Linked DNA regions of Sus scrofa. The protein of the gene in region 2 interacts with the protein of the main gene of each other region in a biochemical or structural test. Links are inferred from orthologs where the notes say so. Each region holds a gene or a part of one and is shown on either strand. Other genes may lie near its edges.

Region 1 (3,747 bases), on a different chromosome or scaffold from region 2:
AAACACCTCTTACGTTTGAACAGGAGTGCAGAAGAGAAGCTGCGCCATCAATGTCTAAGAGACTCTGTGGAGCACCTACACCTCTGTAGAGCACCTAGCATACTTGGCCTCTTTACGGCTCTGGGAGTTCACTTCAAACTACAACTTTTCCCGGCTCCAAACAACTAATGCCACTTCGGCCACTAAAAGTGTTTGGTGAGGGACTGATGCTACTAAGAAGCATCAAAAAGTAAACTAAGGAGTTGCCATTGTGGTTCAGTGGAAACAAATTCCATTAGGAACCATGAGGATGAGGGTTCCATGACTGGCCTCCGCTCACTGGGTTAACTATAGGGTGATGTCATGAGCTAAGGTGCAGGTCGCAGACGTGGTTTGGATCCTGCGTTGCTGTGGCTGTGGTGTAGGCTGGCAGCTGTAGCTGATTCAACCCCTGGCCTGGGAACTTCCATATGCTGTGGGTGTGGCTCTAAAAAGACAAAAAAAAAAAAAAAAAAAAAGGCGAACTAACAGTTTCTGGCCTAGTCGGGCAGCACAGGGAGTTACAGAATTAACTCCTCACATTTCCGGAGTCTCTGAAAGAAGCAGTCAACTTGTTCATCAAATGAAGAGCCTAAGAGAACACTCAGCCATGTGTCCCTCATTGTATTAGGCACTTTTAGCACCCTGCACTTGCAGTGATTTTAAAAGCCCTTTTGTATTTAGCTCTAAAAAGTCTTTCATAATATCAAAATTAGTATGCATTCTTTGGCTGAAATACAAGAGTAAAACATAAAACAGTGCAGAGACTAACTCAGAAATAAATGGTATCAGAGAGTGTGGTAGTGAAAATCTGTTTAGCGGTCATTTGTAGATAATTGGGAATTGACGGCATTTTTGTAAAGATTTCAGGGATAGGAAGACTCTGAAAGATCTGGGCCGCAATGGACAGGATCAGAAAATAACAGTCATCTCATCTCTTAGCTTGGAGGTGCAGGCCCATCATTTAATGGGTTGCCTCCTGTTCCATGTCTGCAATCCCACCTGAAAGGGCTGCTCTCGCTCATAGCAGGCGGGAAGCAGCCCATCACAAGTTGACCAAGTTTTCCACCCGGGGACGCGCGCAGGGGTGTCCCCTCCTCCCGCGCCACTCCCGAAAATAGGCTTTCCCAGACATTTCTCCTGCGCCCTACCCAGGGCAGTCTGTTTTGACACCTTAAAGTCTCTTTTCTCACGCTACAAGCACGGCCGTAACAGACACCGGGAAGAGCCTGGCAGAACAAGAGCTCCACGGTGCCGGTCCCCAGCCCCCGCCGAGGGTAACAAAGCCGACGGCAGGGGCGGCGCTGTCGCGGGAAGGCTGCAAGCGGCCGCCGCACACACACCACGCCTTTTTGACTTGTTTTGAAGCAGACACGGGGCAACGCCCCCGAGCAGGCTCCACCGCCCGGGCGCCGCGCCCCGCCCCGCGCTCCCGAGGGGCGGCCGGCGCGCGCCCGGGACCCCCTCTCCCTGTCGGCCCGCCCCGGCGCGGGCCAAGGTCCGAAGGCCCCGGCCCTCCAACGTTACCTGCTGCCAGGGGCGGCTTCCCCAACACAGCACCCCGGGCTCCGGGGGCGGCTGGTCCCGTGGCTCTCACATGAGGCCCCCGGGGCCCCGCGCCTCGCGCTCCCGCCTCCGCCGCCCCCCGCGCTCCGCTCGCATCCGAGGCGCTGGTCCCGGGGCGGGCGCCAACTCGGCTCCACCTTTGCGGCTCTGACGGCCGAGGGAAAAGCCTCTCTTCTCAGTCCCGCGCGGCCTGCGTGCTTCTGCCGGGACCCCCAGTCCCCTCAAGAGCCGCCTTCAGCGAGCTGCGAGCCCCGCGTAGTTACCCCTGCACCGCGGGCCCAGACACCGAGTCCAAAATGGCGCCCGGACTGACGGCCGCGCGCTTCCCCCGGCGCGTCTCCGTCGAGGGGGGCGGGCGCGTGTCCGCCGCGGCGCGTCCGCGGAGGGCGGGGTCGGGGGCTGGAGGGGGCCGCGCCCAAGCGGGAGCGCGCGCCACCCCGCCCGCCTCGGTGCTTCGTCCTTCTGGTTCCGGGCGGAGTGTCGGCTGCTTTCCTCTCTCTGATGAGACTGCGGCTTTTAGAGGGTTTTTCGTCTTGCAGCGAATGTGGGAGGGCTGGAGCCAGCTAGATGCCCAGGAGACTTTCAACGGTGGAAAGCGGAAAGTTTGAGGAGGTGGAGCAGCAAGAAGAAAGGAGCGAGAGTCTTTAGGGCCGGCCTTAGCCCAGCAGCTGGTTCCGGGCTCGGGGGATAAACAGCAGCTGCTGCAGTTGACACACCTCCGCGCGCCAGGCGGGGCCTCAGAAGGCCACGCCCGCCCCGCGTAACCCAAGTGGGTAAAATACGGGCTCTAATGATACACGCCTTGTATCCCTTAACGGGTATGTCATAATAATATACATCGTGTACACATACGGTGTTTTCATAAACTGCGGGAAATTAAAGCAAAGTGATGACAGTGTTAACGTTGGGATTACAGATGATTTTGATGATGATGATTTATAAATTTTAAAGTATTTTTATTTTTTCAATTTTCCTAAAAATGATTTTTGTCATCAGGGTTATTACTGTTTAACAATCGCCTTTAGGGAATTCCCCTGTTGCTCAGCGGTAACTCGAACCCGACTAGTTTCCATGAGCCCTCGGGTTCCACCCCTGGCCTGCTCAGTGGGTTAAGGATTCCGCGATGTGGTAAGCTGCGTGTAGGTCGCAGCCCTTGCTGCTATCTGGGGTTACTGTGGCTGTGGTGTAGACCAGCAGTGGCAGCTCGGGTTGGACCCTTAGCCTGGGAACTTCCCTATGCCGCGGGCCCGCCCCTGAAAAAACAACAACAAAAACAGCTTTATAAAGTAAATAGACTCCTGAAGTTTATAAATAGCTTTCTGAAACACAATGAGGAAAGTGTAAAGGACTAGATGTCTGCTTAAAACTCTGGTGAAACCTTTGGTAAACAGAGATATGTGTGTAACTGCTACCTAGTTTGTTTTAAAGTTTTAATTTTTGAATACTAGGTTTTCTTAAAGTTAGAACTGTCCTTAGTTGCAAAATCATAACGTGAGTCATGCATCCTCTCTCCTTCGAAAATAAAGCAAGTAGTTTTCCATCCAAATATGTCTTTTTGAATATCTGACCCATGTGTAGGAGACTGGAAGACTGTGATGCCCGCTCTTCTATGACTCCCCCCTCCCCAGATTGAGCTAGGAAGCCTTGTGTAAAATTTATGGTACTCTTCAATGGGGGGAAGGGAGGAAATGCCGCTGTTCTGTTAGGGCTTGGCTGTCTGATCAGCAAGTCAAACTGCACGAAGTTTCTAGAAACAAAATAATGTGGCTGTACCTGCACTGCAACATTGTTTAGGTGCCTCTGTGACTGGATGATAAAGGACAATAGGAAGACAGGCAGTGATAATTATTAGAGGAAGAAAAACAAGAAAATACAGGTCCATTTATTTAAAGGGATGTTAACAGAATAAATGATCAGCAAACCACATTAAACCAAATCAGCAAACATAACCAGTATATATTAATATATCACATTAAAACTTTCACACTCCAAATGTATCCCTTTCTTCGTTTGGTCTTTTTTTTTTTTTTTTTTTTAGGGCCACACCCTCAGCATATGGATGTTCCCAGACTGGGGGTCGAATCAGAGCTACAGCTGCCGGCCTACGCCAGAGCCACAGCAACGCCGAATCCAAGCCGAGTCTGCAACCTACACCACAGCTCA
Region 2 (3,747 bases):
CAATTAACATCTGCATTCCTACACAGCCTCTGACTTCAGGATTTGATATAGGCATCTGAGCTGCCACATTCTTTTTCTTTTACTCACTCAACAGCACAATTACAAAAGGGTGACCCACAAAAATCTCTAAATACCTAGTTTCTAGAGAATCTGAGTTTAATAAGCAACAGAGGTTTTGTTGTTGGTTTTTTTTTTTTTGTCTTTTTAGGGCCACGCTTGCGGCATTTGGAGGTTCCCAGGCTAGGGGTCAAATAGGAGCTGTAACTGCCAGCCTAAGCCATAGCCACAGCAATGCCAGATCCGAGCCGCATCTGTGACCTACACCACAGCTGACGGCAATGCTGGATCCTCAACCCACTGAGCGAAGCCAGGGATCCTTAACCACCGAGCCACAATGGGACCACCTGTTGTTGATTTTTAATCTCCACTACTGCAAAGGAACAGGCAATTTTATGCCACATTCCTCAAATCCCATAAAAGAAGAAACTCCTTGACAATGTAACAAACAAGTAGTCTGGAGTCTAATTACTCTGCTCTGACTGGCACACTGCCATCAGGAGAGGGGCAAAGTCTGAGGCTTAGTCCAAGCTAAGTCCACACTAGGGATGGCTGGTCATTTGAGGATGTTTGTCAGCCCAACCTCCTATCTAGAGAAACTGGAGCAAGGGCCGAGTAATAGAGCAGACTGAAAACTGTGTGGGCAGGCTCTCCACAGAACTATCTTTAGCTGTTCCCTCCATATAAATGGGGCAGGAGGGGGGCATTTAATAGACCCACTGCTAGAAGCACTCACTCTCCTAGCAGGGCACACACCTTGGAGAGGAAAGAATGGGGAGCCAGCGTATCCTGGGAATAACTCTGCCCCTCAGTGCAACAAGGCCACAAGCAAACACCTCCAGAACAATGCAAACAAACTAGAGGACGACTGCCAGACTTGTTAAAGAGAGACGGGTACACAATGTCTCAGAACACCTTTGTTTTAAACACTGGTTATGGAGAAAACACATCAACTACCTGTTAAACTTTTCCCATGATCCTGGGAGTCATCAAAGAGGGCCCCTTGGTATCACAGCTTGCCTGCTCCCAAATCTTAGCACATCAGCTGACAAGAGTCTAATCTACAGGCTCAACTGTCCTTTAAAATCAATCTCAAGAGAAGAGGAGGAAGTAAGGGACTCTTTGTTTCTTTTTCTTCTTCCTCCCCCCTCCTGCTTTTTTCCTTAGCAAGCCCATAGCTGCTGAGGGAATTCTCCAAAATAGGTTAAGTACTGCTGTCTGCTCTCTAGCCCAGGACACAGAGTGCCTCTCAATGAACGTGCCCTTGAGAGCATGTTCTTTTATTTACAATAAAGGAGCAAAGGCACCTGCCCTACCTAATGCTAAGTCAGAGTCTCTAGACACCTCCAGAGACTGGATGATCTTGGTGGAAGGAAGACAGGATAGGTGAAAAAATGAATTCACACAAACCAGAGGCTTAAGCTTAAGACGACCTTCAGGAGCGCTCTTGAAGAATGCAGGTGTCTGCCGTGCTATTTCAGAAACCTGTCCCGGCCCTCATACCGCAATAGCTCCCGTCCTCCCCTCCCTGAGCACAACCCTAAGAACCCTAGACCAGGAGTCCCTGTTCTGCCACTCGCCGGCTGCAAGTCCTTGGGCAGGTCAACTTTGTATCTCTAAGACTCCAGAGTCTCATCGGTACAATGAGGATCATGATTTTTGTTTCACGGGGACGTCGTGAGGACCAAAAGGGATAACACAGTGAGAACGCGCCGTGCCAGAGGTTGAGCCCTGGCCCACCCAAGCCCTAACTATGGGACTAATTGCTACCCACGTCGCGGCTTCTCCCCACTGGAGACTCAGCTGCGCCTCCCTGCCCCATCTCTTTCAGGTCGGGGGCTTTCAGCAGAGGGGACTGGGGCCAGAGCCTCCCCCCTCTTAGGGTACGTGCCTCAGAGGCTAGACTGCGCTCCCCGGACCCGCAAACCCGCCCGGGGCCCCCTCACCTCCACCGGTTGATCCCGACTGAAGAGGAGGCCGCGAACCAAGGGTCGAGGATGTAAACACAGCGCACGCAGTGCGCCCCGCGAACCGCCGCCAGCAGCGCCGGGTTGTCGTGGAGCCGCAGCCCCTTGCGGAACCAGTGCACCGAAGAGGCGCCTTCCGCGCCGGCAGCGGGAGCCGGGGAGGACGCCGCAGCGGTCGCCACAGCCGCCGCCATCATTGCCTGGACTGCTCTGACTGCGGCCGCTCCGCCCCCGTCGGCGCCGCGAGCCCGGCCCCCAGCTGGCCCAGTGACCTATGACGCGCCGCTACTCTTTGGAGCCCCGCCCTCAGGCCCTGGAGCGCCTCTGCTATTGGCTGGGCGCCTCCTGCCGGGCGATTGGTTAGAGGCACCATGTCTGGCCCCGCCTCCTCACGTTCCCACCATGTGTGGGCCCTGCCGGGAGGAGCCGGAGGGCTGGGCTAGTGACGCAGGCTGGCGGTCCCCAAGGAGGTCTGGGCGTGGACCAAGTCCGAGGAACGGCGGAGCTCAGCTTCCTTTTTTAGGGCCTGGCGCTGGAAGCTGTGTGGGCTGGCGAGGGTTGCTGTGACTCCAGCAAATGACTTAAAAGGACAGACCACCGGCTGTCCTACATCATCTTCGTCATCAATATAATCATCTACCACACTCTATACATACATCATTACAGCATTCTAATACAGCTTCCATTAGATGCCAACCAACGTGATAATACCCTTACGCTGCTGTCTCCTTTACTGCTGTAAACTCAGACGAGTTGCATTCTTTCAACAAACCCTAGTGAAAGAGCTGTTTTCATTTTACCGACAAAGAAAACCGAGGCTGCTGCAGGTTGAGTAACATGCTCAATATCATACAGCTAATACTTCTACCAGGATTATTCAGAATCTGAAGTTTCTGCTTTTATCCACAATACTACACCTCTGTCAGCGTTGAGCAACTTGGCATTTACAAGTAGTAGAGTCCAAAGTGTGGGCCCTGATGTGCTGCAGTAGAGGGGTTGGGATTAGGGACTGGAATTGTGGAGAATGTGGGTTGAGATTGTAATTAGGTCATCATTGGAATTCCCAGTTTGTGGCTCAGCGGTAATGAACCCGACTAGTATCCAAGAGGATGAGGGTTTGATCCCTGGGCTTGCTCAGTGGGTTAAGATCTGGTGTTGCTGTGAACTGTGATGTAGGCTGCAGACGCGGCTCAGATCCTGAGTTGCTGTGGCTAGCAGTAGATCCGATTCAGCTCCTAGCCTGGGAACCTCCAAACTCTGCAGATATGCTCTAAAAAGCAAGAGGGAAAAAAAAAAGCCATCACATGAATTTTTCTTTTAGTTCTGTCATAGACTTAGGGGTAACTCTGAGTGTAAAGGACTGAACTGGAGTCTGTGTGGGGTTCAGAGATGTGGAGGATATTCCCCACGCGTCCCCAAGAGAGCCAGGTGGAGCCCTCTTCTGGAGTCGAGCACAGGGCTTGCTGATTGACTGAATGAGTGAATGATAGGAGAAGCCTGTAAACACCCCCACTGATGTGTTGATGGTGGGCTAAGCTAGCCTGGAGCTTTGGCATTATCAAATGGAGAGGCCGTCTCAATTTGGCTCTAGGTGGCACCCTTCCTGAATTTGGGAATGAGCAATGAAGGAAGTTAGCAATTTAATCCGCAAGTGAGTGGCACTAATTGGCACAACTGTCTAAACCACAGTGTTGTTACAATCCTAGGCGCTCTCATTGCCAGG

What was found.
Region 1: the proteins of CRY2 (region 2) and FBXL3 form a complex in vitro, tested with the Homo sapiens proteins (2 studies listed by BioGRID, with this or other methods). The link is inferred for Sus scrofa from reciprocal best matches to the Homo sapiens genes CRY2 and FBXL3.

The regions. Positions count from the first base shown.
Region 1 is NC_010453.5:49,149,128-49,152,874, forward strand, and holds the start of FBXL3 (F-box/LRR-repeat protein 3), read right to left. Parts: upstream 2,254-3,747; 5' UTR 1,546-2,253; intron 1-1,545. UniProt on the Homo sapiens protein: Substrate-recognition component of the SCF(FBXL3) E3 ubiquitin ligase complex involved in circadian rhythm function. Plays a key role in the maintenance of both the speed and the robustness of the circadian clock oscillation.
Region 2 is NC_010444.4:16,618,101-16,621,847, forward strand, and holds the start of CRY2 (cryptochrome-2), read right to left. Parts: upstream 2,281-3,747; 5' UTR 2,222-2,280; coding exon 2,004-2,221; intron 1-2,003. UniProt on the Homo sapiens protein: Transcriptional repressor which forms a core component of the circadian clock.